Canis lupus familiaris: one gene and its partners. The protein of the gene in region 1 interacts with the protein of each later gene in a pairwise test. Links are inferred from orthologs where the notes say so. Each region holds a gene or a part of one and is shown on either strand. Other genes may lie near its edges.

Region 1 (10,583 bases):
TTATTTTTTTATAAAGATTTATTTTTTATTGGTGTTTTTAGAACTCTGAAATTTACTGAGGTAATATATCAAAAAACCAGATTCAAAATGTTAAGGCATAAGCTTTGTAATTAGTTGTTCTCTTCTGCCCCCAATGTCAGTTCTGCCTGAGAGGGCAGCTCACTCTACTCCAGCCTACAATTAAAGAGTGAAATAAAATAGGTAAACACTAAATCTTGTACCAATTGCTACAAGAAGCATTAAAAAAAAAAAAAACAGGGTGGAAAAATTATCTGTTAACATCTTACACAGTTTCACTCCTTTATAGAGTAAAGAGTAAATGCAAGGCTGAGCTCTTTCCCCGGTCTAAAAAATGCATTCATCTGCCCCTCTCTCTGCACGTCTTTCCTCCCTTTAGGAACACACTGAACTAATAGTTTCTTCTTGCAGCAGCGCAGGCTCCATGGGCAATCCCTGCACCCAGGAAAACAAAGGGGATACCCAGCCACTGTCCTCTGGTGCTGAGCATCACTAGCACTAGAGAGTGTGAGACTCTTAAGCAGGGTCCACACCCGGCATGGTGCCCAATGTGGGGTTCCATCTCGGAGTCAAAATCAAGAGTCAGGGGATCCCTGGGTGGCGCAGCAGTTTGGCGCCTGCCTTTGGCCCAGGGCGCTATCCTGTAGACCCGGGATCGAATCCCACGTCGGGCTCCCGGTGCATGGAGCCTGCTTCTCCCTCTGCCTATGTCTCTGCCTCTCTCTCTCTCTGTGTGTGACTATCATAAAAAAAAAAAAAAAAAAAAAAAAAAAAATCAAGAGTCAGATGTTTAACCAGCTGAGCCACTCAGCGCCCCTGAGTGATTTTTATTAACCATTCAGGTGCCCCTGAGTGATTTTTATTATTTTATTCATTTAAGATTTTTATTTATTCATAGAGACACAGAGAGAGAGAGAGGCAGAGACACAGGCAGAGGGAGAAGCAGGCTCCCTGCAGGGACCCTGATGTAAGACTTGATCCCGGATCCTGAGATCACGCCCTGGGCCAAAGGCGTCTAGATGCTCAACCACTGAGCCACCCACGCATCCCTTTTTCCCTCCCAGTTTTGTACTTCCTTTTTATCACAACTGCCAAAAACTCAGATTACACAAATATATGCAAATATTGAACAGGATCTATTTTGATCTGACAGTGACACTGTGAACTGTCTTAAGCTTATAATTCACGTGGTATTCTGGTGTTGTTAACTGTGTTTCCCTTAAAATTTATCCTATGGCAAAAAAAAAAAATAATCCTGTGGCACCCTTGTGCATTTGTAGTAGTGCCTAGAGTGCGCCATTTGAGAACTGTGATCACAGACTTATTGCACTCATTTGTTTGAACTGTGTTTCTAGATGTCTGTGTGCCAGATCCTGAGTGTACAGGGTGAGAAAAGGAGAGTCCTGCCCCTGGGATGCCTGGGGAGCTCAGTGGTTGAGCCTCTCCCCATCGGGCTCCCCGCAGGGAGCCTGCTTCTCCCTCTGCCTGTGTCTCTGCCTCTCTCTCTCTGTGTGTCTCTATGAATAAATAAAAATCTTAAATGAATAAAATAATAAAAAAAGAGTCATACCCCTGTTCCCATGGAGTTTATAGTTTATTGGAGACGTAAGTGTTAAATATAAAAGGATCTGTATCTAATTACAAATTGCGATAAATGCAATGAAGGAAAAAAGGGTGCTATACAAGAGCATAACAAGATACTTATTTTTAATTAAGGGTGATGGTTAAACTGGAATCTGAAGGATTTAAGTAAGAGTTAAGAAAAGTGGGACGCCTGGGTGGCTCAGCAGTTGAGCGTCTGCCTTTGGCCCAGGGTGTGACCCAGGGGTCCAGGAATCCAGTCCCACCTGGGGCTCCCTGCATGGAGCCTGCTTCTCCATCTGTCTGTATCTCTGCCTCTCTCTCCATGTCTCTCATGAATAAGTAAATAAAATCTTAAAAAGAAAAAAAAGAGTTCAGAAAAGTATCAGATAAGGGGAACAAACTGAAAGCTTTGAACTGGGAAGAACCTTGGCAAGGTCATAGTATTGAAAGAAATCAGTATGGTTGGGCTAAATCAAGGAGGAATGAGGTTGGGAAGGTAGGCAGGGTCTAGATCTCTTAGCACTTTCAGGCCTTAGGAAGAAGTGTGGATTTTACTCTAAACACAGTAGGAAGCTTTTAAGAGTTTTGTTTTTGTTTGTTTTTAAGATTTTATTTATTTGTTCATGAGAGACACACAGAGAGAGACACAGGCAGAGGCTCCTTACCAGGGGCCCAACACAGGACTCGATCCTAAAACACAAAGATCATGACCTGAGCCAAAGGCGGACACTCAACCACTGAGCCATCCAGGCGTCCCAGCTTTTAAGAGTTTTAAGCAGAGATGTGGCTTGATTCAATTTTAAAAGATCACTCTGGAGGGGGGCAGGGGTTGAAGTGGGATGTCTGTTTCAGTAGTCTAAATGAGAATGGTGGCGTGGGCTTGGGTGATGATACCAGAGAGAGGGGAAAATGATGGTGGTAAGGTGCATTTTGGAAGTACCTTGGGGTGGATCAGGTATTTGGAGTAAAGAAAGAAAAGCTGAAAAGAAAGAAAGAGAGAGACAGAAAGAAAGAAAAGAAAGAAAAGAGAAAGAGAAAGAAGGGAAGGGAAAGGAAAGGGGAAAGGAAAGGAAAGGAAAGGGGAAAGGAAAGGAGGAAAGGAAAGGGGAAAGGATAGAAAAGGAAAGGGGAAAGGAAAGGAAAGGGGAAAGGGAAGGGGGAAGGGAAGGGAAAGCTGTGAAAATAATAGTGTCTTGGATTTAGTTTGTTGTCCTTTATGGAGATGTAGAAGCCTGGGTCAGAAGCAGTTTGGGCAGAAAGATCAAGTTCTATTTTGATGTATGTTCGAAATACCTTTTATGCATCAGATTGGGAGTAAAGAACAGACAAACGGACAGGAGGTCTGGAGCTTAGAGGAGAGGCTGGGCTAGAGGTAGACATTTAGATGGATAGCTCTTCCCTGGTCTTCACACAGCTGGTGAGTGATAAATGCACATTTTATAGATTTGTTGCAGTGGGCTTGCTCCTTGATTTCATGTTGGGAAACTGGAAACCTCTGAAATGCAAATTTCCAGTTAGAAAAATGAAAATCAGACAGTCCATCCTTACCGTTGTCCACAGCCTTTTATCCTGTCTTGTTGTGAAGCCTTTCCATGCCACCGGATTCTCTTTTCTCAGTCTGTGGCTCCTTTCCCCGCCTCATATCACCTAACATTATATATCTTATTTTTCTCTGAGTCTTTTATTTCCCTGGTGGCAAGCTGCAATTATATATGTTAATAGTAAGACTAGTGAGAGTTAAGGCAACTGTGTTCTCCTTATTCCTGGCACCCTCTATTCTTCCTTTTTTTTTTTTTTTTTTTTTTAGATTTTATTTATTTATTCATAGAGACACAGAGAGAGAGAGAGAGAGAGGCAGAGATACAGGCAAAGTGAGAAGCAGGCTCCATGCAGGGAGCCCGATGTGGGACTCGATCCTGGGTCCCCAGGATCACACCCCGGGCTGCAGGCGGTGCCAAACCACTGCATCACTGGGGCTGCCCCCACCCTCTATTCTTATGGGTTGATGCCAGTAAAAGAGGAAGACACTTCTCATTACGACTTGGGCCATCTAGGACTTTTCTACTTTCTAACAACTGGAATTTCTCTTTCATTTTCTTTCCTTGGTTCTCCCTAGATCTCATTCCAAAAAGAAGCATGGAACACAATAAGCCTGGACTAACTATGGGGCTTGCCTAACCTTTTATAAACCTTTCTCTCAGGGCACTTTGGTGGTTCAGTCAGTTAAGCGTCTGCCTTTGGCTCAGGTCATGATCCCAGGTTTCTGGGATTCAGGCCCCACATTGGGCTCCTTGCTCAGTAGGGAGTCTGGTTCTCCCTCCCCCTTTACCTGCCACTCCCCCTGTCTTTCCTCTCTTTGTCAAATAACCTTTTTCTCTGTAAGAGTAAGTTATTGTCCTCAGCCATGCAACACCTGTCGTGAATTTGAAGAATCATTTTCCAAGAAGCTACAGAAATTAGTAATCCTATATGAGAGAATGTCATGTGGGATCTACATGCTTTATGTATTAACTGGTGGTTGAAACAGCCCTGGGATTCTTTTAGAATATGAGTTTCTTCTTTCACTTGGATCTTTTTTTAGTTTTCTCCCCAATCATCTCTTGCAGTGACTTAGAATCCCGTAGGGATGTGAAGAGAGAAGAAGGAGAGGCCTTTGCCCGGGAGCATGGACTTATCTTCATGGAAACTTCAGCCAAAACAGCCTGCAATGTTGAAGAGGTACTACTTGCGAAAAAGTAGGGAAAGCTTTTGAGAGATGACAACATATCTTTATTCTTTTATTCAGGATTCTCTTCTATAAGACTGTTGGTAAGGAAAGGGTGTCTGTGGTTACATTGTATGTCCGTATGTCTCCCTTTAAGGGAGTTGTCCCTTTTTTTTTTTTTTTTTTGTCTTTGTTCCTACAGTAGGGTTTTACTTTTGCCTTGTGTAACATTAATTGGCAAGTATTATGGATTAGACACTATTGTTACTTTATATTTCAGTTGGAGGGTCTCATGGGTTCTACAGGTAGTCATTCTGAAGCCTGCTGTTGACTGTATCTTTAGTAATTAATTGAGAACAGAGCATGTTTGTTTTATTTGGAGAAGGGGCCAGTCAAGGATCATCTTGGGTTAGTATCAAAATACCATATAGTCCTTTTCTTTTTGAAATAGAGACTTTGGGGGATCTTTTGTATTTTTACTCTGGTCTCTTAATGGTTCCTAATTTACCTTAGAAATCCAAGTAGGAATAATATTTGTATTCCCGTTTTCTAATTTCTTTATCTAAACTTGAGCCTAATAATATGATTTCTGTCTCCTTTAGGCCTTCATTAACACAGCCAAAGAAATATATAGGAAGATCCAGCAGGGTTTATTTGATGTCCACAATGAGGTGAGAAAGGGTGGGGGGAGGCTGACAAGTAACTTTGCTGCTTTGTGTTAAATAGGACAAGAAACCCCCTAGAATGTGAGCATTTCCTTTCTAACACTGTGCTTTTTGAAGCTATGCTAATCCATACTTGATGTTTTACAAATCTGTCATCATTTTCTGTTTTTTTCTCAAGTCCGAGGCCCAGAATGCTTAAAGAGGTCATTAGTTGGTGATCTAAGATGTTTACACAGTATAGGAGATTATCTTTGGGAAGAGTTTTTACTATCCCAGTGTTTAGGGGTGAGGTAATTCCTAATTGCTCAACAGGGCCATTTCTATAAAGCAAATTCTGGGACAAAACAAAAAAGAATTCTGTGCTAACATCTAGTCTTTCACCTTCTCCTGCTCTTATCTAATCTCATCCTGATTGTACACATAGCCATGAAACCTAAATACAATAGTCACCTTAAAATTGAGCCATAGAGGGGCAGCTGGGTGGCGCAGTTGGTCAAGTGTCTGACTCTTGGTTTCGGCCCAGGTCAGGATCTCATCTATAACACTTATGTCTGAGCTTGTCATCTCATCTTTATGGTTGAAGACTACTGTCCCACAGCAGTTTGCCTAGGGCACATGGTTAACTGCCAAAGCCGTATCTGCTTCTAGAAGATGTAACTCATGATTTCTTTTTTAATCCCTCTCTTTTCTCCCATTTACTTTAGCACTGAGGTGGAACTCTTGCCTCTTTTCTCTTACAGGCGAATGGCATCAAGATTGGTCCTCAGCAGTGTATTTCAGCATCAGTAGGACCCAGTGCCTCCCAGCGGAGCTCTAATGAAATAGGGTCCAACTCTGGCTGCTGCTGAGTATCTGGCCTGGACTCTTTTTTTCCTTCCTGGAACAACGTCAGATCAATAGGCTTAAAGAAAGAGGTCTTAACTTGCTTTGGCTGAGAAAAGCCTCTTTTCACGGTGTGATGTTTTGCCTTTCCACATAAAGACCAGGGAAGAATTTGGGCCCTACTGACCTGTCCTCCTTCAGGGACGTGAGGATTCCCTATAGATTAGGGCTCTTCTCATCCTCCTATTTTAATTTCTAGAATGTTAGGATCAAACTTGATTGTCATGGTAGCTCAAAAATAAATTCTTTTATAAGTATATACAATTCGCTCCCCACTAAGAATTGGTAATGAGGGCCTAGGACATTCTACTTGAGCACTTGATTTTACTGGGATCTGGCTGGCCTTTGGGATGGTGGATCCTGAATCTAGGAGTTTCATGGATTGTTTTCACTTGCCACTTTGCAAGTGTTCTTGCAGAAGGCAGTTTCTTCTCTAAAACTGTTCAAGGATGCTGAATACTTCTCTACCATTTCATTGCTAGTTTCTCTGTCTCCGAGTAACTAAAACTTTTGAGAGCAGTGGAGTTACTCCTGGACATGTGCCACTTAGCATCATTACTTAAAGAAAACCTCTTTCCCTGTTTGCTTTAGGGACCAGACCGAACACTGCAGTGTCTTTCACCAAATTAACCCCCTACTGTTTCACCATACTTCTCAACAACACCTATTTAGACTTTCTACTTTAATCAAGCTAATCTGCTTTCTGGACATATTTACTTACACTTCTATGCTTTTGCACATGCCCTACTCTCTGCTAACATTATACTCAGTCCCCAAGTTTTTCCTTCAGAAAGCCTTCTTTGACCTACAGACTTCTAGATAAGTATTGACCCAGTACCCCTTAGGCTTTCATATGTTGTTTATTCAGATGTGTATTTATTTATATTTATGTTACTTTGTAAATTTGTTTTGTGTGTGGAATCTGTTTCCCATATAGGTTGTAAGCTCCTTGAGAGCAGGAACCATGTTATCCCTTTACTTTTGTAAACCACTCCATTGTTCTTCACTGCGCCTAGTGCTACTTGCCTAGTGCTACTCGTTATGTGATCATTGGACTTGACTGACATAAAGACTTGTAACAGGTTTATTGTAGACTGCAAACAAAAGGCCTTAGAGTCATCTCTTTGTAACTCTTTGTCTCTTCCATCTGCTTACCCTGGATTCTGTATTGCTTTTCCTCTGTCACCCCTCTCCCTTCCCTGGCTCTTCGCCTCCATTCCGTGCAGCATACAGTAAGGCTGTCAGCTTCCACGCAAATAAGTGGGTACCTTTCCAACCATTTTTCTTTTCAATGGCATATAATACTATCCTAAGCAAATTTGCCTTTGCTTAACTCATCAGGCAGCCTTCTGGGTCAGTTTTTTGTATCTTTTGCCTTGATGTCCTGTTCTCTTCCACAGCATTGAGGTCTCATGAATTTTTCTAATTTTTTTTGTTATTGATGAATTGTTTCACTATTAAATATATGCATGTATCCAAGCTGCTCATATTTCATGTGTTCTTTCTGATTTTATCCCAAACATATATAGATGTTCTCCTTCTAGGAAATTAAAGGTATTGGAAGAAGCGTCCTTGATATACACTTTTTTTTTAAGTTTTTATTTAAATTCCAGTTAACATATAGTAATAGATTCAGTACTTATGTACGTCACCTCGTGTTCATCACAACAAATGCAGATACATTCATTTTATACTAGATTTACCTCCTTGTATTAGTAATAATAGTTATTACACCACATAAAGTTGGAGGACATTTAGGGTAGTGCTTTGACTATACTTTAAAAAAAAAAAATCCTACCTCATTCCAAAAAGGATCTGAGGCTGTTGAATTTGGGGTTAGCCTGTCCCCTCGTGCCAGGAGCAAAACTGTAACTGCCTAGTTTCTGTACATAATCTCCCAACCTCCAAGGTTTCTGTCATTAGTTTAAAATTTCAGGAAGTGAGGGGTACCTGGCTGACTCAGAAGAGGGTGGGACTCGATCTCAGGGTTGTGAGTTCAAACTCCATGTTGGGTGCCGAGATTACTTAAAAAAAAAAAAAAAAATTTAAACTTAAAAGAACCCCAGAACACTCCTAACCTTCTATACTTGGGTATTTCATCCATGTAAGGGAAGCATGAGGAAAGTTACTTGGGCAAATTCATGACCTCTATTGATCGTTGCTGGTGATCAGAGACACGGTCATGGTCATGAAACATGATAGGAAGTAGATTCCCCAGCCCGTGTGAAGAAGGGGAGGTCTGATGAGGGCATGCTTGGCTGTCAAAGGCCAGCACCGGGGCACACGTCCGGCTCAGGTGATAGAGAAAGGTACTCTTTTTTTAAGAATATATTTTATTTATTTATTTGTTCATGAGAGACACACAGAGAAAGGCAGAGACAAAGGCGGAAGGAGAAGCAGGCTCCACGCAGGGGGCCCGACGCGGGACTCGATCTCGGGACCCCGGGGTCCCGGGAAACGGACTGTTGATCTCGGGGTCCTGAGTTCAGGCCCCACCTTGGGAAAACTTGGAAAAGGAGGAGGTGGGGCCGCTGGGGTCCCGCTCGGGGCGAGCCGTGCAGCCCGGTACTTACAGGTCTCCGCGGGCGGAGGCCTCCTGGGCAGGCCGTCCCCTCCCCTATCGCCCACCGCGGCTTCCTGCGGCGGGCCTCGTTCGGGCCGAAGACGCAAACTAGACACGGTCGGTGCTCCCTCCACCCAAGCTGGTGGCCGGGGCTCCCGGGCCGCGGGGCGCGCTGCCTCGACCGCGGCCCCGCCCGCGCCATCCCCCACGTGACCTGGGGCTCCGCGGGCCGGAAGTGCCCCCAGCGGGCCCCGGGGCGGCGGGGGCACGGAGGGTCACCCTGTGGCTGCGCGGGAACCCGTTCGCATTCCAAAATAAATAAATAAATAAATACTGTTTTTAGTGCTGCCGTGACGCGTGGGTCTCCTCCCTCCCACGGTGGGGGGGCCGCCGCCGACCGCACCGGGCCCCGCTCCCGACCGCCCGGCCGGACCGCACAAAGCACGTCGGCTCGGCCCGCCCCGGCTTCCGCGTCCCCGCGGCCCGACCCAAGATGGCCGCCCCCGCTCGGGGCCAGGCCGCGCGGCCCGCAGCGCCCCCAGCGGTGGCGGGCGGGGGCGCAGCTGGCGGGGGCCCGCACGCCCGCGAGCCGAGCAGCAGGGCCCGCGGCCGCCAGATCTTATTTCCACTCAGGCACATCCGTGGTTGCCTACGTACCCCTCTAGGCCCTGCAGGACCTCCCCGCCTCCGGGGACTTCCGGGATGGCGCTCACACTACCTTGCTGGGGGGCGGGGCCGGCCCTGCCATTGGCAGGCGGCCCGGAGGTGGGCGAGGCCTGCGGCGTACGGACTGCCAGCAAGCTAGGTTGAGGCGAGGGCTGGCCATGCTCCGCCGGAAGGCGCCTTGTTCTCCGACGCGGTGAGGGGAAGCGCTGGCTGGCAGGGACGCTGCAGGACTGGCTCAGGTAGGGCTCCTGCTCGCGCCGGCTCGTCAGCGCTGCGCCGGGGGCCCCTGCGCGGCCGCGGCGCCCGGGGCGGGCCCCTGGGAGCCCCCGGCCCGCCCGCGCCGCGCTCCCCGCTCCCCGCGCCGCCGGGGCGTGAGGGGTCAGGCGCAGGGGGCTGCTCCGGGCCGCCCCCTTCTCTTTGTGAGGGGCCGGGGGGCGCCGGGGCCTGTCAGCGCGTCCCGGGCGTGGTGCGCGCTGGCGGCGGCGACGAGACCCCCCGGCTCCCGGGTCACCGCGCTTTGGACCCAGAAGTGGGAGGTCAGGGTGGTTGTGGTGGCTTTTTTTTTTTTTTTCGTTTCTTTCTTTTTCTTTTTTTTTTTTCTCTCTCTCTCTTGTTTGTTGGTTTTGTTCCGACGATGGAGGTGGGTCGGAAAGCTCGGGGCGGGCCGGCGCCTTCGTTGCCGGTTACCGGGTGCGAGCACCGCGGGGGTGCGTGTGGAGAGGCGGCGGCGACAGGGCCGCTCAGGCCTCGCGTCTCCGTTGACAGGTCCGCAGAGCCCGCGGGGCCCGGCCTGGCGTTATGTAAACTCTTCCCGGGCCGGAGACCCCTCCCCCTGCCTCGGAGCGGATGCCGGCCCTTCGTTTACCTGTGTCTAGTGTCACAGAGAATTTTCCAGCCATTGCAGCCTCAGCAGCAGCAGCAGCAGCAGCAGCAGCTCTTGCCTTTAAGCGGCGGTCGCGAAGGGAGGAAGGTCTTCCGAGGAGTGCAAGGCAGGTGCATGCATGTCCAGCGGGTCGGCCGTTTCTCCCAGCGACTGAGCGTAGGGAGCTGGGAGTCGGAGACCTGGAGCTCCATGAGGCGTCCTGGCGCAGGGCTCCAGACCCCAGCGCGGCCAGGCTCTCCTGCATCCTCCCCTCACAACCGGCATCCACACACGATCGCTCTCCTCTGTTGCTCCGGGCCTGTCAGCTCAGGTAGGGATTCCCTGGCCTGTCCGGTTCGGGACCCTCGAGACGCCGGAGGGCTCTGTCAGTTAATGAGCTACCGTCTTCTGCCCGGGAATTTCGTTGGTAGGGCTCACCAAACAGGCTTCCAAGAAAATCGTGGTGTTTTGGACTCATCCCACCTCCTTTAAAACGGGTTCCTAAAGAAAACATTATTCTGTATAAGGAGACCAAGAGGGGCAAGGCATGAGGAAGGCCGCGGGCCAAAGAGAGGGTAGGCGTGTGCGGTGCATCAGGCCCCGGGGAAGGTGTAACACCGGAGCAGGGATTCGATGGAA
Region 2 (11,045 bases), on another chromosome or scaffold:
GTCTCAGTGAAATCAGCTGGTATTTTTGTTGAGCTGTGTTTACTAGTTGGTCAAACATCAAGTTGCCATTAGAGCCATGGTAGGTAAGTAGCCACTTAACATATTGGCTACATGGAATCCAGGCTTAGAATCACATGCACATGAAACTCTCTGGTCCCCTCATGTAGCCATCCCCAAGGTCCTCTGGCTATTGTCTCTGCTCATGCAACATTCTCTCCCTTGGTGAATCACATCCCTTTCTCAGGGTTTCATACACCACTCTCATGTTGTGAGTTTTGAATATCTATCTCATTCCATTGAGATGGAAGGTGAATTAGTCGTTTCCAGGAGCTGAAGGGAATAAGGAGGGACGACTAATGGGTACAGACTCCTTTCTTTGGTGTATGATGAAAACGTTCTAAAGTTAGATAGTGATAATGGGTGCACAACTGTGCAAATATTTTGAAGACCACTGAACTGCACACAAAGAGTAAATTTTGAGGCACGTGAATTATATCTCAATATATTAAGAGTATCTGTAACACATATAACCTAGTGCTTCATGTTAATAATGCTGTTATTAGAAAAAATTCTACTTCTGTATAAGTAGTTCCAATGGCCAGTTGGTCATCTGTTCCCATCCAAAATGGAGTCTGTTGTTTTATTGTTAATACTAGTTCTTCTTCTTGACTTTTGAGTTTCCTTTAATGGTGCCTAGATTTCCCCTCAATAACCCAGGCTTAACACCTCAGGGCTGTCATTAACTAAACCTTCACCCTCTCAAGAATATATAACATCAATAGCTATCATTTATGGAGTGCCTGTCAAGTGCAGGCTCCTTAAATGTATTATCTCCTATTAGATATTATGAGCTCCATTTTACAGGTGAGACAACTGAAGCTCAGAAGTCACACTTTCAGCAAGTTGTTAGATTTGAGATTTGTACCCACATCTAACTTTGAAATTGAACCATATCAGAACTGTATCTGCAATGCCACCAGCCTCTGCTCTCACATTCAACCAGTGGCCAAATCCTAGAAGCTCTTTATTCAGAATTCATGTCTTTTTTTTTTTTTTTTTTTTTTTTTTTTTTTTTTTTACCTCTTCTCACTGCCACCACTCCAGCTCAGGCTCTCATTATGGTTCACACTGATGATTTCAACATTGGATTCAGCCCTTCCCTGTTGCTCTCCCTTTCACTTCCCCATACCTCCCCATCCTGTTCATACATCCCCAGGGTTTTCCCATTTACTATGGAGATGAGGCCACCAGCTTTAGTTGGCATTCAAGCACCTCTGCACATCGATGCCACTAGCTTTACTCCACAGGTCCCTCCCAAAACCTAGAATGAGACCATGTAAGCATGTGTGCAATGTCTGACATTCACAGAAGATCCTCACATGGCTGTTGGTTCAAAATGTTGTCTTTCACACATTTAAAACCCAGTTAAAATAACCACTGCCTCCACTGTTTGTTCTTCCCAACTGGATATATTTTTTCTTCCTCTGAAGTGCCGAGTGCTTTGTGTCTGTCTCACCTTGGTGAGAGCTGCTTCAGTGTTTTCCTTGTACAGTATGTTGGAAATACTATGAAGACAAGGATCTTCCTTGTCTAGTTTTCATGTTTTATGTGGCACTTAACCTGGTTTCTTGAACATATTGGGGAGCTCAACAAATATGTGTGTTGTTATATTAATATATTTGGAGACTTAAAATTAAAATGTAATTTGGATTACTGTTTTTGTATTTCTTGGGTAAATACTCAGTAGTACAATTACTGGATTGTAGGCACACCTCTGTTTATAGCAGTGTTATTTACAATAGCCAAACTGAGGAAGCAGCCCATGTCCATCAGATCAACGGAAAAAGAAGATGTGAAATATATATATATATTTAAGTATATATATAAAAATATATAAGTATATATATATTATTCAGCCAGCAAAAAAGAATGAAATCTTGTCATCTGCAATGATGCGTGGAACTAGAGTATAATGCTAAATAAGTCAGCGAGATAAAGACAAATATCACATGATTTCATTCATATGTAGAATTTAAGAAATATAACCAACAAGCAAATTAAAAAAAAAAAAAACAGAGAGCAAGAGCAAGAGAGCGAGACACACCAAGAAACAGGCTCTTGACTATAGAGAACAAACTGATGGTTACCAGAGGGGAGGAGGGTGCGGGTTGGGGGAGACAGGTGATAGGGATTAAGGAATACACTTGTGATAATCACCAGTGGATGTATAGAACTGTTGAATCACTATATTGTACACCTAAAACTAATATAACCCTGTATGCTAATTATATTGGAGTTAAAAAAATTTTTAATGTAATTTGAAATGAAAACTAGCAGAAAATGCCTTTACCCTATTTACTACTCAAGAGCTACTTTACAGCAAATGGTTCCAAATGATCCATATTGTCTTTCCTTGGTTCCTTCAACGTCTAACGTCTCCTTTTAAATAAAAATCCTTGAATTTAGTAATAACACTCCTGTAAACAAGTCTATGAGTGGGAAAGGCAAAAAATGCATACTTCCTTTTAGCTGGCATATAAAGAAAATCTCTGAGTCAGAACCAGGTTAGGACAGGGGGTTGGCAAATTGCAGCCTTCTGGCCAGATCTTGCCCTCTGCCTGCTTCGGTAAATAAGATTTTGTTGGGACACAAACACATTCATTTGTTGATGTACTGTCTATGGCTTTTCTAGCACTGCAGCACCTGAGTTGGGTATTAGAAAAGACCATATGGCTCACGAAGTCGCAAAGCCTAAAATGTTTACTATCTGGCCCTTGACAAAAATGTTTGCTGACCCATGGTCTAGAAGATTGCCTGGTTGCCATGACCTAAATATTGTTTTAATTTATCCTATGAGTCCTAGGGGCATAAGGAGAATGGGTTTGTGAATAAATGATGCTTTGACATCACTTTTGTTCCCAGTTTTTATTCATCAATAGCTGGTTCCTGGTATTGTCTGATATTTTTGTGTAAGGTAATTTGAAAATCGTATTATTAATCTGATTTAGGCACTTAATCAGTGCCAAACTATTTCACTTTTCTGTAAGTAGGGACATGGGACTAAACCTGGCTATAATAAACATTCATGGGCAAATAAAAAACATTTTGGACACTTTGTCGATTATGCTTTGCCCTAAATGTGTCGCCAGGCTATTCATCATGTACTCTAAAATCCTTCAGCATATATCGTGGGACATACATGCCGGTTAGTTGTAATTTACAGCCTGGGGTGGTTGGTTAACATCCCAAGTGCCCTATTCAGGAATATACTCTCTGGAGGACTTCAGTTGGCATTCAAAATCTATAGTTGTCCACCTCTAGAGAGGGTTTCCCAATCACCCTTTTGAGTCAGTACCCCCAAGATGTGCTAATTAGAAATTCCACTGGTGAAACGGAAAATGCTGAAGATATGTGGACTGGCAAGCAATAATGGACAGGTCAGTCTGCCCTTCTATCACCAGGGCAGAAGATATTATTGGATATTATTGAGTTCAGCAGCTTAGCCCTCTTTGAGATATTTTCTAGTTGCGCTTGAATTGCAGGAGAACCCCAAAGCCTGATTGGGTTAGCTGAGCCCTGCCTCTAGAGCAGTCCTCACCAAAGGCCAGAGAGGACGGAGAACACAGGTTTCATCAAGCTTGTAAAAACAAGCTGAGGGCCAACCTGCCTTAGGTCCGTTCACCTCAATTGCAGAGAAATGGCTGTGACAAAAACCTCCTTCCCTGCAACTGCTCTGCATGTTCAACCAGCAGTAGGAAGCCACCCCTTCAGAAATACCCCACATCAGCTGTAAGGTGTTGAACCCACACCGTTAAAAATATTTACGGATGACTTCTATGTTTCAAGACATTTTCACATCAGTTTGGATAATAAAAATGGTCACTATAGTTTTCAGCCCTACTTTAATTTCTTATATATATCTTTAATCTCTATTTCCTTCTACCTGCTACAGGTCTGTATTTTCTCTAAACCAAAACCAAAACCAGAAATCTTTTTCCTTTGTTCTCGTAGATCTTTATCTCCTCTGGGTGTTATGACAGGAAAGACGGAGTTAGTTTTAGACTGTGCCCTTTTCTCTGAGGCCATCAGAAAGTATCGCATCCTAAAGACACAGCTGCTTGGGGCCAGTGACTGTCGGAGTCCACCAGGACTACAGCTGTGACACATGCTGTTTCCTAGGACAGTCCCCATCTCGGCCTGGGTGCCCCAGAAGCAGTCAGACTTATAAATCTCTCCTGATTTATGGTTTGGAACGTTGATCACTGCAGCCATGTCTTGTGGCTTTGATGCTAGTGAAACTCAACCCACAGAAACAAGGAGGCTTCTTTAGAAAAACTCAAGGAGAGGAAGAGTAGCATATAAAGGAGCCTTTGTGGGCTGGGAATAAGTTAGTTTTTCATGAGTAAATTCATTCATCACCTAAAACGCTCCCAGAACTATGCTAGGTATTGGAGCAGCAACATCATAGGCTCCAAAAATAAGTTTAAAACGGAAGACACGGCTACTATCCTTCAGAAAATGAATAATCTGTTTTCATTTTAGCTCTGGTCAATGAAGGTCCACGAAACTACTTCAGCAAACATGAGATGGTTAAACGATGATACAAAACAGCACACCGAATGAGGGAAAGATGTGCCTGAATTAGACTGACCTTGTGCAAAGGAGAACCTTGAAAATAGCTTTGATAGGATTACTTGGGCCTGATGGGAAAAGAGTATGTGCAAATGCCCTGCATCAGGAACGAATTCTAGATAATCAGGATGAACATCTGTGTGGCCCAACCAGGAGGCAGTCTAGAGGAACAGTGAGGGCAGGTCAGTGGTAGGAGTGGAGGGGGGGTGGGTACTCTGAGGCAGAAAGAGTGTTCTCTGGTCCCACCATCTCTTTGTGGGCACACAACTCACTCCTGTTGGGCTTCCTCACTTCCTCCTCTGTAAAGACTGGACAAAATGACCTGGATATTTGGTTCCCAAACACCAAAGACTGCGGGACTGGGACCAGTCCATGATGATAGAGAAAAATGAGGACAAGATAGCAAGTTTTTCATCCATCTAAATTTATTAAAGGGCTGCCTTCATCTTGCAAGTTTAGCCTTCATGCTTTTCTTGGTATTAAATGTCTTTAATTTTACCGCATAGTAGTGCAGTGGATGGATTTTTTTTAAAAGGCCACTTTCGGCAAAATATGAATTTGGTAATGCAATACCCTGGATAAGATCACTGCCCCCAATTTTAAAAAGGGCTGGTCAATGAGGACCAGGAACAAAAACTCTGGGTGAGAGGTTAATCAGCAGCTAAGGTTCCCTCCTATGAAGCTCAACATGTGCCCCAGCCCAAGCTCCCCCTGCACCCAGCCTGTTTCCTCCCCTCTCCACCTGTCTCCTATGTTTTTTTTTCTGAAACACAGATGGGACCTATTTGCTCCCCTGTTTAAAACCACCAGGATTAAACACCTTTGCATGACACCTGTGGCCCCACACGGTTCTGCTCCGATCTCTTCATCCACCTCTTGTAACTCTTGGTACACCGAGCACTGTCGCCTGGCCAGACTCCCTCAGTGACCGCAGCCTGCAAATGTGCCCCCCTTGCCTTTGCCTCCCTGCTTTCTCCGCCCCTGGGGCTGCCCTGCCTGTAACTGCCGGGCAAACTCCCATTTGTCTCTTTCCACATCTAGCATCACTTTTTACTCTATCATTGTCCTTAATTTCCTCCACCCTTTTCTCGCATTAACTGCTTTCCCTTCCACGTCCTGTGTGTGTCCGTGTGATCCTCTGCACTGACTTCTATGGCATTTATAAGGAGTCTGCATCTGTGTCATTTCCTCCTCCTGGACTGTGACCAACACGCACTCAGCTCGGGTTCTGATCCTCAGATGTTTACAGAACTGAACTATATAATTGTCTGATATTGATCCAAGAGAAAGAATATTTGACATAAGTCAGACCTATAAATACACGGCTACTTATATGGGCTGAATCCTTGGTATTCTAGAAGGCTCCCTCTCACCCTCCAATTCCTTCTGCACTGGCTCCGTTGTGCTTCTGACACCACCCTGGAAGTTTCATGCCTTCGCTTAAAGCTTACAGGGTCAGGAGCTGTCAGTCTTCCCTGAGCTCGGGTTCTGAGGGAGGAAAGGGAGGAGGGCGCAGGGGGTGAATATGGGTGAGGTTGGGAGGGGCCTCCGAGGAGAGAGACTGTCTCTCCGGTGACCTCGGGGTGGAGGTCGAGAGACGCGGATTTCAGAAGCCACCTGCTCGTACCCTTAATGTTCGGGATGGGATGGGATGGCGTGAATGGGGCCAGATCCTGCCCTGAGCCCACACTGAGAGGTCTCCGGACTCTAGGAGAGGGCAGCGCAGCTCAGGCGCCCGAGCGGAGGCGGCGGGAAATACTCACCCGATTCCGGGGCCCAAAGGGAGACAGTGGGTGAGCGGGTGGGGCCTGGGAGCTGGGGGGCTTGCAGCCAGGGCGCGCTGGCTCTTCGGGCGCTGGCTGGGGCGCTGGCTGGGGCGCACGCGAGGCCGCCGAGGGAGGGAGGACCCAGGCGGGTGGGGGTCACGGCCAGAGCCCCCCGGCTCTCCCACGGCGGGCCAGCCGGGGAGGGAGGCCTCTGCCTTACGGGGACCCGCTCCCCCTGTGTCGCCGGCGGACCCGGGACACCGGGGAAACTTCTCCAGCCTCGCTCGGGGCCGGGACCCGAGACCTGGAGAGCTCGGGGCAGGCTCCGCGGGGGCTGACGGCGGCCGAGGGCGCAGACCCCGAGCGCGGGCGTGTGGGTGTGTGCATGAGCGTGGACCCGGAGCGACACACACTCACACACACACACTCACACGCCCGCACCCACGCAGGGCCCTGGGCCGCGCCGCCCGCGCCCCCCGGACCTCCAGCCCTGAGCCCGCTCCTCCCGGTCCCGGCCGACGGCTTCCCCGGAACGCGCCGGGCGGGATGCGGGCCCAGGACGAGGAGCGCCGGCAGGGCCCCCCCGCGCCCCCCCGCGCCCCCCCGCGCCCGCCCGGGGAAGGGGATGCGGAGACGGCGCCCCGGGCTCTTACCGCTCCGGCGGCCGAGTGCGCGCGGGAGCGCCCGGCGGGTCCCGCCCCGCCACGTCGGCAGGGCCGGCGGGGACGCGGCCGGAGGGCGGGCCGGGGGGCGGGGGGGACCGCGCGGCCGGCCCAGGAGGAGCCCCGCCCCGCCCCGCCCCGCCCCCGAACCCGAACCCGAACCCGCCCCGCGCCCCGCGCCCCGCACCGAGGGGGCCCACTGGGAGCCTCCCGCGCCGGCCGGCGCCACCCCACCTGGGGAGGACCTCGGGGTTCCCCGCCACCGTTCCCTTCCTCTCAAGGCGCCCGGAAAACCCCGCAGCGTCCCCGGGAAAGGCTCGCTTCGACTTGAGCAAGAGTTTTCCATGCGCCGATTGTGCGTTCAGCAGCTTTCCCTTCCTTCCCTGGCTTCAGGGAGCGCCATCCGATGCAAAACCAACTAAACACGAGCACTCTCTACAAGGCCAGTTCGGAAATGTAGGTCAGGATGCAAAAGCCCTGGGGCGCCCCGGTGGCTCCGCGGGGCAGCGGCTGCGCGGCTCAGGTCAGGAGCCCGGGGTCCCGGGATCGAGTCCCACAGGAGGCTCCCCGCGGGGAGCCTGCTTCTCCCTCTGCCCGCGTCTCTGCCTCTCTCTGTGTGTCTCTCATGAATGAATAAATAAAATCTTAAAAAAAAAAAGATTCAAAAACATTAGCTGTGGCCTGGGAATTCCACATTTGCAAGTTTGTCTCAAATAGTCAAATGTAAGAATATGTATGTACAAGGATATTTACTGTGGTTGTTTATGCCCGGGAAGACGCATACATAGTCCATCCCACAATAAAGGATTGTTTTTTTAAGATTTTATTTATTTATTCATGAGAGACACAGAGAGAGAGGCAGAGACACAGGCAGAGGGAGAAGCAGGCCCCATGCAGGGAGCCTGACGTGGGACTCGACCCTGGGTCTCCGCCGAGCCACCGGGGCTGCCCCAAAGGATTGTTTAAAGAGTAGCAGCTTCGAACAGTCTCATATGCTGTGGCCATTAAAAATTATAACTATCCATCCGACTTGTTGACATGCAAAGAAAGCAGGCCGTAGCCAAATTTCAAGTCGAGGCCTGGGGAAGTTTACCAAAGTGTATGTACGGTGTAACTCTTTTCCTGTAAATACATCTATATGTGTATATATTTTATATGAGTTAGGGAAAATACAATTTTAAAAAACAGTGATTCTTTCCGAGTTCTGTAATTCTGAGTGTTGGCAAATTTTGTTCAAAAGGCGTGACAGGTGTGTTTTGGTGTTACCATGGACACAAACACTGTGCCTGTGACTTCTGCACCCGCCTACTAGGGACAGCAGGTACTTTTGCCACACCTGTCCTCCCTCTGCACTGAACGGCAAGAGCACAATCAGACCTGCCTTGTAAGGGCTGGCTGGTTTCCTTTTCTCCTTTGACCCAAACCACACCTTTCCAATAAAAGAATATCACACAAGGAACCCTAGCCACAAGGGTTTTGTTGATGACTGCAGATTATGCCCTGCTACTCAACTGCTGCTGCTTCCAAGCCCACCAGGTTTTAGTTCAAAACCTGTTATTTTTTGCAACTTAGAAATTCTTTATTCATTTAAAAAATTCCAGAGTCTTAAAACATATTGAAAAGCAGAGAATAATATGACAAATACTTATTTAAGAAAAAAAGTGGAGAATGACAATAGGTAGATTGAACAACTTTTTTGTCATATTTATTTTAGAACCTTCTTTTAAAAGAAAATAATGTTAAAGATATTTGGAAATCCTTTCCCTTCCATTCTCCACCTTCCCTGGAGGTAACCATTGTCCTGAGGTGGTTGTAAACTCTTCCCACCCTTATTTCTATATTTTACGGCACATACCTTTATCCACAGATACTATATAGGATTCTTTTTCCAGCAGCCTGGGTGGCTCAGCGGTTTAGCGCCGCCTTCAGCCCAGGGGTGATCCTGGAGATCCGGGATCCAGTCCCACATCGGGCTCCCTGCATGGAGCCTGCTTCTCCCTCTGCCTGTGTCTCTGACTTTCTCTCTGTTGTCTCTCATGAATAAATAAATAAAATCTCTCTAAAAAAAAAAAAAAAAAGAATTATTTTTCAATGTTTTAAAATTTTATTTTTTTTAAAGATTTTATTTATTTATTTATTCATGATAGTCACACAGAGAGAGACAGAGAGGCAGAGACACAGGCAGAGGGAGAAGCAGGCTCCATGCAGGAAGCCCGATGTGGGATTTGATCCCGAGTCTCCAGGATCGTGCCCCGGGCCAAAGGCAGGCGCCAAACCGCTGTGCCACCCAGGGATCCCCCTGTTTTAAAATTTTATAAGTAACATCCTATACATTTGTTTACTCAACATTATATTTTTGAGAATCATTTATGTTCATATGTGTAGATCTAATACATTAATTTCGGTCTTTATAGGATTCCACTGTATGAATATCCACAATTTATCTATTTCCCAGTTGATGGAAATTTGGGGCATTTCATGTTTCACTATTACACATAGTGCTGCAATGGCCATCTTTGTATATGCTTTCTGGTATCCCAGGCTAGACATGGAATAGCCAGGCCGCCTTTCCTAGATTTTTGAAACTGTCCTTCAGTGTGGTCCAACTGAGATGAGGAAACTGAAGGGACTCCATAAAAATCTACTTTTTGTTCCCTTTCCTACTTCTATTCATGCTATGACCTGCACCCCCACCTTACACATGCCTCATAGTACAAATAATACATGTCCTCCTGTTAAGGGACAAGGAGTTAATGACTTCTTTATTTTTCCAGTACAATAGATAACATCTAAGAAAGGACTGGTTGAGAATGACCAGACAAACCATATTCCGGATCATAGGCTCTAGACATCTCAGTGCCAAGACCCCCTGGCTCCAAGGAATAAATGACTTATAGAGGATACCTGGACCCTTGTCTTTGTTCTGACCAGTTCTTGGATGCCTGAGAGGACACATATACTAGACCACAATCTTCAATAAAAACTCCAGACCCCAAACAAAAACCACAGTAGGGACTTTGGCTTATACTTTGAATGAGAAGAGGATCTTTACAGATTTTGAGTAGGCATGTGTGATGATTCTAGTGTCTGATTCTCACTGGGTTGGAGTGGGATAGGGTGAAGGTGGGTGGGTGGAGGAAAGAGCAGAGGCAAACAGACCAGTTTGGAGGCCATTGCAATTATCCATGTAAGAGATGACTATGGTTTGGCCACCATGGGAGCAGTGGAGGGCATGAGAGGTATTTTGCTTTTGGAGATATTTCCAAGAAAAACCCAATGAAATTTGCTCAAGGATTGGATGTGAGGTTTGAGGAAAAGAAAGAAGTCACACATTAGTCCAAGGATTTTGACCCGAATGACTACAAGAATAGAAGTATCATGGGGCACCTGGGTGGCATAGTCAGTTAAGCCGCGGACTCTTGGTTTCTGCTCAGGTTATGATCTCGGGGTCACGCGATCCAGCCCCATGTCAGGTACTGTGCTAAGTGCAGAGTCTGCTTGAGATTCTTTCTCCTTCTCCCTCTGCCCCTCCCTCTTGTGCTCACTCTCTCTTTCTCTTTCTTTTTCTCTCTCTCTAAAAATCAATAAATAAATCTTAAAAAAAGAATAGAAATATCACTTATTGAAATTAGGAAGAATGCAAAAGGGACAGGTTTGGGGTCTGAGGTAGTAAGGATTCAGGCATTTGATTTTCAACAAGAAATGTTTAGCAAATGCTTAGCAGGCAGTTGGATATAAGAATCTGGGGTTCGGGGGAGAAGTCTAGGCTAGAGATAGTAACTGGGGAATCTTCAGCAAATTGATTGTTTTTTTTTTTTAAAGATTTAATTTATTTATTCATGAGACAGAGAGAGAGAGGCAGAGACATAGGCAGAGGGAGAAGCAGGCTCCATGCAGGGAGCCCGATGTGGGGCTTGATCCTAGGTCTCCAGGATCAGGCCCTGGGCTGAAGGCTGAGCTAAACCGCTGAGCCACCCGGGCTGCC
Region 3 (11,325 bases), about 21 Mb from region 1:
TTTCCTTTAGTCAGTATAACAACCACAAACTTAGTAGCTTAAAACAATATTAATTTATTATCAGATGGTTATTGAGATCAAAAGTCTGAAGTCTTATTTCACCCCTGAAGTTTTACAGGGGTAAAATCAAGGGGTCAGCAGGGCTTGTTACTTCTCGGGACTCTAGGAGAGAATTTTTTTTTTTCTAGGAGAGAATTTGTTCTCTGCCTTTTTCTTTTCAAGAGGTCACCTACATTACTTGGCTCGTGGTTCCTTCTTCCATCTTCAAAGTTAGCAGTGTAACATTTAAATTTTTTTCTCTCATTCTTCATCATATCCTCTTCCCTATTAGGACTCTTATGATTACAATGAGTCCACATTAGGCAATCCAGGATAATCTCCCCATTTTAGGATCCTTAACTTAATCACATCTGCAAATTCCCTTTTGACATATAGATTATTCACAGGTTCTAGGGATTAGAATCTGAATATTTATAGAGGGAGGAAACATTATTATTATTATTTATTATACTCTACCCTCTGGGCTCCAAAAAGGAAGCCCCAAAGTCCTTCTCTTCTAACCAGCAAATGGAGAATAAAAACAGAGGATTATCTGTTGGAGGTTTTTAATGGGGGAGGCCTGAAGGCAGTGTATATCTGCTGTCCACACGTAAAAGCCATTCACCCTCATCTCAACATTTTCCCAGGTTTCAACCCATTAACAAAATCAATTTAAACTCAGAATCTTATCAGCTCAAACTCCCAAATCTCATCATCCAAATCAGGTATGGGAGAAATTCTGAGTATAATCCATCTTGAAGCAAAATTCCTCTTCGTCTGTGAATCTTTGAAACTAGAAAACAAGTTATTTGCTACCAAAGTACAATGGTAGGACGGGCATAGAATAACAATTATTGATATTCCCATCCAAAGAGGGAGAAGGGGGGGGGGGGAATAGGGGTAAACAGTTACAGTCAACTTAGAAATCCAAATGAGTAAACCCCACTAGGTTTCAAAGACTAGGAATAATCCTTCATAGTGCTCAGGTCCACTCTCAGCCCTGTCCTCTCAATCTTCCTATTTAATAAAGGTTAACAACATTTGCAACCACTCAGTTTGATAAGTCTTTTCTTGACTCCACAGATCCTTCCTGGATAATCCCATCTCTGGATGGTTCTGAGAAGATCTATGACACATACATATAATCTCATCAAAGAGCCCTCTGTGTGATGGAATACTGATTTTTTTTTTTATCACGTGGGCACTAGGAAAAAGTTATCCAGTCACACTTTTGGCTTTCTCCCCAGGACACACTTTCTTGACAGTGAATCTAAAAATTTAGCCTCTTTTTCAATCTGGACAGGCTGAGAATGTCTCAATCACACCCTGGTTTCTTTTTGCTTAAAAGCTAGATTTTCCAGCTTTCTGTTATTGTTGATCTTTAGTTTTGTATCACTGTGGTTAGAAAATATACTTGGTATGATTTCAGCCTTCTTAAATTTGTATTATTTATGTCTTTTTTATGTGATTTAGCCAATGGATTCTTCTGTGTGTACTTGAAGAAAATGTGTATTCTATTTTTTCTTGGATGAAATGTTGTATATGTATCTTTTAGAACCATGGATTCTGAAGTATGCCTCATATAAAAAATGTGCTTGTTGGAAAAAAAATATTCACTCAATTTATCTTTTTTCTCTCATATTTGCTATAGGTAGCAAGGAGATACCAGGCTGTACATTTAGCGCCATGCTTGGAAATTCCTTCAGCTAAAGATCCAAATTTATCAGATACTACTTTGCTTTCTATGTAACACAATTCTGCTAGGCTTTCTGCTACTATTCAACACCTCCTTTCTCCCAGTTTTCAATAACATATTTCTCATTTACTTCTGTCTTTACCAGAAGCACCTTTAACAATATTCATACATCTACCCACATGCTGGCTATGGTGATTTGGGTATTCTCTAAGGTGATAATAGGTTTTTTCTACCACTTTCCTCACTTTTTTCTGAGCCTTCACCAGTAGTGCCTTTAATATCTATCTTTCTACAAATACTCTGTGAAAATACAGGTATTTTTTGAGACCGTATAGTTGGGTTTTGTTTTTTTTTTCCCCCCATATAACAGCCTTCTGAGCCCTCACTGGCAGAATCATTAGTATTCATATTTCTGTTCAAGGCAATCTAGATTTTTCCTACTATACCACTCAAAACTCTTCCAGCCTCTAGTTACTGCCCGATTCCAAAGACACTTCCATATTTTTATGTATTTGTTATAGCAGCCTCCCACTTCTAGGTAGCAAAATCTGCATCAGTTTCCCAGGGCTGCAGGAACAGATTAAGACATACAGAGGCTTAGAGCAACATAAACTTATTCTTTTACAGTTCTGGATGTCAAAAGTCCAAAATTATTCTCACTGGGCTAAAATCAAGGTGTTTGCAGAGCTAGTTCTTTCTGGAGGCTCCAGGGGAAATCCACTTCCTGCTTTTTAACCACCGGCATTCATTGGTTCATGGTTGTATTGCTTTAACCTCTGCTTCTGTCATCACTTATCCTTCTGATTCCAACCTTTTGCCTTTATTTTATAAAGACCATTGTGATTACATTGGACCCACCTGGGTAACCCAGGCTATCTCCCCATCTCAAGATCCTTAACTTAACCACATCTGCAAAGTCCTTTATCATGTAATGTCATAGGGTCAACTTGTGAAGATCAAGATATGGACATCTTTTGGGGGAGCTAATATGCCTACCACAGCCATGTTCATTATTAACTAAATTGTCTAAAATGTTTAACCCATATTTTCAATTACATTGTTTTAAGCACTCCCCTCGTTCACTACCCAAATTACTGAGATAATATTTTGAATGTTTGTTCTTCTAAAAGTTCCAGCAAAAATTTCAGCAACAGAATAAGACTATATATTGAATCACAATTCCCAGAGCTGTTGAGATCTGAATAATTCCTTGACTCATTATTATTGTTCGGAGTATTTCCAAAGAACACAGTAGTTTCATTATAAGGAGAAAATGTTAAGTCCCTATGATAAAAATCATAACTGTTTTGAAGTTGAAAGATATCTAATGAGTCATCTCAATTTCAAGGATGAGAAAAATAAGACCCAAGGAAGTTAAATGATTTACTTGATGACACAAGCTCTAATGTAGAGGACAGGGAGCATAAATTTATTTTAATCATATCTAAAGCCTAACTGTATGGAAATCTGTTTCAAGAACAGCATATAGAAAGCTGCTGCATTCTCATAAAAAGAATTCCTTAATCTCAGATTCAGGTAGCTTTTTATTTAGGCATCTGAACTTCTTAAGTTTTGAGGCAAATATTCATAAGATAGTTTTCTAAATGGCTAGAGGAGTTTAAGACAAACTATATCAGATTAATGAAAATAGAAATATATTTTCCAGAATGCTACACATGATGATTATCAGGCCAATAATAGGAGTTTTACTGTTGTTGATCTAATGAGTGGTCTGGAACAATTTCTGAAAGTCCATAGACCCTACAAGTATTACAGTGTCTGATTTCCCTGGAGATAAGACAATTACCTCAGGTTCTAATGGAATACTAAGATAAATATCTTGTAATATATGTGCAAATGCTTTTAAGAAAACCAGTATATCTTCACGTTGTTTTTTTAAGCACCTAAATTAAATTACTGTGTCCCATGCTATTTATTCTTTTCAAAAAAGACCAAAACCACTGGGATACTTTTAAAATGTTAGTTTGTTTACTAACTGTATATTAGGCTTAATGTTTTTTCTAAGATAAGTAATAGAGACATAAGGTAGAAATTAAGATATAAGTAAGGACTTTAAACAAGCCAGTAAAAATTTTTATTGGTATGTTAAGAGGCCTCTTAATAAACAAAGGAAAACTAATCCTATTATCAGAAATACTGGATATTTCAATATGAAGGGAAGAAAATGTTTCTTTTGACCTATAAAACAAACTAAAGACTCAAACACTATGGCTACTATGACTTTCTATATGTGTGTGTGTTGTGTATATCATCATACCAATAAAAATACCTTGATCTTATTGAATTGATAACATGGTAGTCAGCAAATTTCTTTTTTATATATATCCAGTACGATAGTGGGTAAGACTAGAGTATAAATGTAATGTTTAAGGCTCCTTTATTGTATAGTCACCATATAAACATCTAGAAAAAAGCTTAAAAATCTCATCAGCAACGTGAGGGTGTATCAAAACATAAAATTTATCATGGCTGTAAATATAGGCATTGCAAATAAAAAGTTTTTTCCCCACTAATAGAAATAATTAACCTAATAAAAATAGGAAGTATAAAGAAAAGTTATACCATCCAAAGATAAGCACTTTAAACATTTCACTGAACATATTTTCATATGCAAACACACACACAGATGATCTTATATAAATTGGACCACACATAGAATGCTACTTTGATATCTTTTTGCTTTGCTCTTTTTCTTTAAGAAAAAAAAAATCAAGACTATCATGTTAAATAGGGAACTACATAATGATTTTCACAACTGCAGAGTACTATATCATAGAATGCTCCATAATTTTTTTAACCCAGCCCCTATTGTAAAGCATTAATCTTGTTTATGATCTTTTTTCGCTATAATAAACCTTGATAAACACCCTGCACTAACCTATTTACCACTTTGTCCAATTCTCTCATCAAGGTAAATTCTCTACAATTCTCAAGGTAAATTGTCTACAATTACTTCTAATTGGTTACACCAGAAGTCCTGGTTAGGAGAGTGTGTATATTTTAAGCTCATACCTAACAGAAATTTTACCTAAACCTTTTTAAAGGAAAGTGATTTGCCAGTATGTATTAAAAACCTCAGATGAGTCCCTAGGGCAGGGGGTTGTGCTGAGCTGTCACAGACAGGGTAGCCTTGTAAGGATGGGTGGGGTGAGGCGGAGAGGACAGTGTCCCTGCTCTGAGGGAGGGGCTGATGGGCAACAGTGACAAAGGAGTGCGTGGTGGGCACAGGTCACAATGGGCAGGAGAAGATAAAAGGAGTCCTGTGGGGTGGTTTAAGCCCAGGTGGAGGCTTCAGTTTCGGAGGAGAGGAGCTGTACAAATACAATAAGCAGTGAGGTTGTAGAATGCAATAGAGCAGAGGCTATTGTGAACCAATGTATTAGGCTCAAGAGGAGGCCCCTCCCTACTCCAAGTGAACACCAACATCTACACGCCTCAACATCTGCATACTCTGACCTCTATTGGGACCCTAACATCTGAGCACTTCAACATCTGCGCACTCTGACATCTACTGAGGACCAGATCTCTTGCTCCTCCACATCTGCGTACGATTACATCTACTGGGGCCCAACCTCTGTGGGCCTCCACCTCTGTGCACCCTGACATCTACTAGGGTCCCAACATCTGTGCACCTTGACATCTGCTGGGGCCCTGACCTCTGCTCCTCAACATCTGCACATGGTAATATCTACTGGGGCCCCGATTCTGCACTCAACATCTGAGCACCCTGTCATCTACTGGGTCCCTAATGTCTGTGCACCCTGACATCTCCATGATCTAGGCAGAGCACAGTCTAGTACAGGTGCAATTAATTGTCTTTAGCACTGAACAATTGGTAATCAGTACTCCCACCCTGTTCTCAGTTGCTCAGAGACCTGTAGAAGACCACTGCTGGGCCACCTGCTAGAGAAATCAGGGAAATAGGACACCCTGAAAAGTGTGGTAAGGTGTGGAAGACCCATAGGAGTCCTTGATAAAAGATAGTCATGAACAGTCAGTCTAAGTTACCACATTACACAGCCCAAAGCAGCCCTGCAATGGGTATGTTTAATACCTCCATGGGGAAACTACAGCAACACCTGTACAAGAGGGAGTACACCATATTGAAGTATGCACCAATGTTTGAGAGTGACTTTATACAGGTGGGCAAAAAAGGAGAAGTGACTGACGACGTGCACAACCGTGCCCGAATGGTGACTGTGGGCATCATCCGCACCAGCCCCCACCTCACACTACCTGATGTCATGCTGCTGGCTCGACCAACTGCTATCTGTGATGACCATAACAGATATGGTCCTGCCCCCCAGGAAAAGGGTTACAAGCCTACACAGATCTTAGAGCTAACCAGACTGTGTCCTTCAAAGTTTGTAACAATATCCATCCATAATGGTACAAAACAACAGCTCCACCTGAAGCTTGCCACTGGCCGCTCTTTTTACCTTCAGCTCTGTCCCCCTTCTGATACAAAAGATCTTTTTGTGCATTGGGAAAACCTTGTTTACATTCTGAGACCACCAGTAGAGGCTTACAGTGGTTCCCATGCCATCCCAGTTGGGGACTCACTGGGGACATAACTGGGTTTGAAGAGGAGGACAAGAGTCCATCGGTAAGTCTTCACAGAGACTCTAAAAGATGGGGCCAGGGTGCTATGGGAGAACAGCTAAAAGTCCCGCAGAGCCTTTGGTACTGAGGCTCACCTTTGGGTGAGGCTCACCTAGAAAATTCATTACATTTGGATGGGTTCAGGGCAATCAGAGCCTCCATTTGGAGCCTGTGTCACATTGAGGAGGTTCCGGGGGCTCCAGAGTTCCCCAATGCTGTATTTCAGAGCTTCCTTAGCTGTCAGCCACTCTTAATTTCACATCCAATATTGTATTGCCATCTGTGGCATCCTCACCATCTCCCCAGCCATGGCTCCCCATGATTGCCATGTGCTGATTCTGTATACATCAGTGGCAGACAGATGTGCCTGTGTGCATTGTTCATAGCTGTCAGAATACTGAAGTGCATCCCACTTAACCAGCAGAAATACTAACACAAGTGTATAAAAAATAGAATATGAGGATATTCACTGGTGAATTATAACAATGCTCTTGCTGACACTGGAACTGTCCAAGAAAAACTGGAAGGATCATGGGGTCATTGTGGAGATATTAAGGAGGGTGGATTCCTGCAACAAATGGGAAATTGGACTTCAGATCTCAAAATTCTTATTATAAACTCTTGTTGTTTAGCTATAGGAATAAAAGGTCTCACTTTGTTTATTTCACTTGTTTGTCTCTCCCTTAGGCAAATGTCATTCATTTCTATGGAAGGGATCAAGATCAAGTTGACATCAGGAGTCTTCACATGAACCCTGATTGTTTGGGGCCACCCCTTATGTGTATGCTGGGGAGGAATGAATTCACCATGCCTCCCACACCTGCTGCATTCAAGAGTTCACATACGTCTGCAGTCACAAAGCCTACAGTATCAGATAAAAGGTCAGGGATGGCGACAGCAGCAGCCATCACAGATCCAGGAGGAAGCACAGGAGAAAGACCATAGGGGGTGCATTCGGCATGTCCTAATATTGTTGTAAGCAAGGGCTACAAGCCCTTCTTGTCTTCAGAGGGCACTTCTAGCACATCAGGAGGAGCTACTGGCTTCTTCTCAGAGGGAGAACAAATCTGGTGATTCCAAGAGCAGAAACTACTGGCAAGCCTGTGGCAAAAACAGCTAACAGCTCAGTATTGAGACCCTTCATTACAACCTCAGAGTAAAGGCTACATGAATGAACAGGATGGAAGCCAGAGGTCTCCACCCAGCAGTACTGACTCTTTAGGAAAGAGCCTCAAAGCCCTGCACCACACCATGGTGCAGAGGTGGACATCTCATATAAGACTGTGGAGGAGATCAGTGTCATCCACCCTCACACAATTCATCTCAAATTCTCTGCTCTAATCATATATGCTCTTTTAAAAGGGAAGGGTAGCAATAAAAACAAATGGCAATTTCTGATCAGGTTCTGAACTATCTTTAACTTTCCCTTAACTTGATATTTGTGATTAAATTCACAGATGATAGAATAAAATACTAAAGGTTACTCTAAAGACTCTCATTTTTCATCTACATGTATTAACCAAAAAAAAAAAAGGTCTAAAATTTCCAAAATATATAACCAGGAACACAAGCAAATGGTAGTGATTATTATTATTATTATTATTATTATTATAAAATATTATTTTCAGGAGTATTAAAAAATTAATTATACTTTCTAGAAAGGGCTTCATTTCCCCAGTCTCTTTATTCTTGTTTTTTTTGCCAACTTAAATATTCAACTGCATTGAAATTATACTAAAATACCTAACATATTCTGTAAGCCTTAATTTTAATTCCCTGATGTTATTTAAAATTCTTAATTTCTTTGTGAAAATTTAGAATTCGAAATAACATCTTGTCACAAAGGAAGGACAAAATGCCATATTAAGACTAGAAAAAACAAAAATTGGCTAAAACCCGAATATAGGATCAATTCAAAATCTAGACAAAAACTGGAGGCTAGATAATCTTAGAAGTGTAAGATCCATAGGATCAGCCAATGTTCTAATTTTGCAAGCAAAAAATCTATTTGAGACTCTAAAAGTAATACATCACATAGTTTTAATTGAGTCTGTATTTCCATAATCCTCATGTTTCTGAAGATTAGGACTATGCTTTGAATATAGAAGATATTTGATACATGTGTGCTTGATCCACTTAAATTAAGGGTTATGAATGTGAAATAAATATATTTTATTTGAATCCAACAAATCTGAGCATATAGAAATTTGCATAGTATTATACTAATGCCAGTGATTCCCAAAGGCTCCTTTACCAAACTGTAAGGTAATAGGTTTTTGTGAGGCCTTCTATGCATAGTCATCAGTTTAATGATTTTCTAATGACCTCCCAAAATATTTCAGGTCTAGAAAAAACAACTTCAAAACAAAATCCTTTTTTTTTCATGAAATTTTAAGAAAACTTCTATTCTGAAGCTGGCCCAGAAAATCCTGAGTTCAAAGCTATTGTAAGTTGAGGACAAACTTACATTTGATATGATGTCTCCAATGTCACAACAAATGTATTAAGTTTTATTGTAGATACATATGTTAAAGGAGAGTCCATCAACAAATTGAGAACATTAGTAGAAGACCAGATGAGAATAGTAACAAAAGAATTCTGCTCTTCATTTATTATATTAAATAGAGTAAAAAAAAGATACTACATGTCAAGTAAATTTATAGATGTAATCAGTAACAATGAAAATACCAATAAGGATACTTTTAGAAAATATAGATTTCTAAGACCAGGCAATCATGTCAGCTAATTAATGCAATCATGATTTCTCCTCCCATGCATTATATGTAAAAATATCATGGTGGTTTTAAAAATAGGACAACAAAAATAAGAGATTTCAGAAGAAAATCCAAGCCAAACAGGATGCAATATAATGAGAGAAATGGGAGTTGCTTCTAGATGAGATGAATTAAACAAAAAAATAAGAAGAATAAAAATAAGAATTTTAATGAATTTAATAGTTTAAAAAAACTACACAAAAACCTCACATATACAAATGAGGGGGAAGCTGCAGACTGGGAAACATTTTGTGGTAAATATAAACTATTAAAATACTATTATTTGCAAGTCTTCACAGGAAAGTGGCCCAAGAAAAATCTCTAGTATTAAAATATTGTAAACCAAAGTCAAGTTACTTCCAAGCCTACTACCAAACTTAATAAAATGAAAAAAATCAGTGTTGAAGAAGGTGGTAGAGAAGCAAATTTTAGTTATATATTATTGCTGGCTCAGAGCTCTAATACTTTATCTTATGAAACAATAACAAACAATAAAAGCATTTGATTACTAGTAAACCATTAAGCAGATGAGGTTATATTAATAAAATAAAACTTATATTTTTTTCATTCCTTTATCCTATCTCCTTATAGATAGGAGGTAAAACTCATTTTTTTTTTTTTTTGGAGGTAAAACTCTTTAAGTGAGGAAATGAAACTGCCAAATATACTATGCATTTATTAATTGTTCCACTGAAATACTACTTAATAAAAAAAAAAAAGAAATACTACTTAATACTTACAATATGCCAGGAACTATGCTGGCCCTGAAATAGATATAATGCAATATATAATCCCTACCTTTATTGAACTCAGGGTCCAGTAGATATTGATAACAATTCTGTAATGATTAGGATAGTGTCTTAGAGTCCTAAAAATAGTTCATGTTAAGGTGAAGAGATTTTTTTTTTTTTTTAGGTACTATCTGCTGACTTTGTTTTCTCTACAATAAATTAATATTGGAACTTGATCAACTTGTGACATAAGACATGAAAAATGTGATTTTTTTCTTAGAAATAATTACCTCATACTTGAGGCAAAACAGAAAATAATATTTTTGAGATGTGACACTATTCTGGATAATTACTGCAAACTATTTTCTGCCCAAGACTATTTTTCCACATATGCACTAAGTAGTTACACATACATACCTTAGCCTTAGATTGCTTTTTGCATTAATGTTTTTTCATATTTTCATTTGGCTTCAAATTTCCTAGCTCTGGGTAATTTTACTTATTTCTGAAATTCCTCCATAGGCTTGTGTTGGTCCAAAACACACAACACGAATTTGAAGGTGATATAGTAGAATAAAATGGACTTAATGAATGGTGAGATAGTTTCAAAATTATATCAATGGTCTCATTTTTGGATTGTCCTACATAATTTTCAAAGGCAAACATTATTCTACAATGTTATATTGTGCTAAAAAAATCGTAACGATGCTATTAAAGAGCTCTAATATGTTTCCTTGTAAATCATTTTCTATTATATTAATATAAATTGTAATTTAATTTGAAAATAACATTCTTTAAATGAACTATTTCTAGATCATAAATATTAAAAATCTCAAAAACAACTCAATTTTTCAGGGGCTATCATCATGATCAAAATAATACAGCCACATAAGATGATGTAAAGTATGTGTTTGCATATCCATACAGGTACAACAAGTTAGATAAACATTTTACTGACTTTCAACTGAAGAAAAACTAGAGCAAGCAAGATATTAATTGGATTTTCAGGAAGACAGAAAAGATTTCCTTAAAAACATAGGCAACTATTTTTATGTTTTAATATATCTTAAGAAAAGCAAACTGTTACCTGTGCAAGAATGGGGAAGCCAAGATTCCTACATCCATTACAAGGAGTTAATGCTTCCCAGAGTCCTGAAGGCCCACAAGTGTTTTCATCATCATCTTCTTCTTCCACTTCTCCTGGTGACAAATTTATTGTAGATGAAGTTCTCTGAAATTAAATTTATATTATACCAATATATTATATCAATGTTATTTAGATATCTTAACATCAATTATATTATATTAATTTCTTGTAGTCTGTGCTAGAAAGCAAAATAAGCTTAATATTCACCATAGTTATGTGGCTGTGCCACATGACTAAGCCAAAAAAACATGTATAATTCAAGCTGAATATTTTAAAAAATTGAAAGTGAAAAAACTGGGTGAGAAAGACTAGTAG

Evidence for each region.
Region 2: the proteins of RAB2B (region 1) and FAM114A1 interact in binary tests that used the Homo sapiens proteins (3 or more experiments, as listed by UniProt). The two-hybrid records come from large-scale screens. The link is inferred for Canis lupus familiaris from reciprocal best matches to the Homo sapiens genes RAB2B and FAM114A1.
Region 3: the proteins of RAB2B (region 1) and FAM71C interact in binary tests that used the Homo sapiens proteins (3 or more experiments, as listed by UniProt). The two-hybrid records come from large-scale screens. The link is inferred for Canis lupus familiaris from reciprocal best matches to the Homo sapiens genes RAB2B and GARIN6.

Annotation. Positions count from the first base shown.
Region 1 is NC_049236.1:18,617,136-18,627,718, reverse strand, and holds the end of RAB2B (ras-related protein Rab-2B), read left to right. Parts: intron 1-4,208; coding exon 4,209-4,320; intron 4,321-4,908; coding exon 4,909-4,977; intron 4,978-5,711; coding exon 5,712-5,819; 3' UTR 5,820-7,342; downstream 7,343-10,583. UniProt on the Homo sapiens protein: The small GTPases Rab are key regulators of intracellular membrane trafficking, from the formation of transport vesicles to their fusion with membranes. Rabs cycle between active GTP-bound and inactive GDP-bound states.
Region 2 is NC_049224.1:74,060,744-74,071,788, forward strand, and holds the start of FAM114A1 (protein NOXP20), read right to left. Parts: upstream 7,133-11,045; 5' UTR 7,052-7,132; intron 6,829-7,051; exon of another isoform or gene 6,771-6,828; intron 6,320-6,770; exon of another isoform or gene 6,006-6,319; intron 1-6,005. UniProt on the Homo sapiens protein: May play a role in neuronal cell development.
Region 3 is NC_049236.1:39,185,320-39,196,644, forward strand, and holds FAM71C (protein FAM71C), read left to right. Parts: upstream 1-4,943; 5' UTR 4,944-5,742; coding exon 5,743-6,330; 3' UTR 6,331-6,362; intron 6,363-7,045; 3' UTR 7,046-7,756; downstream 7,757-11,325. Other genes in the region: ANKS1B (ankyrin repeat and sterile alpha motif domain-containing protein 1B), read right to left, coding at 10,951-11,094.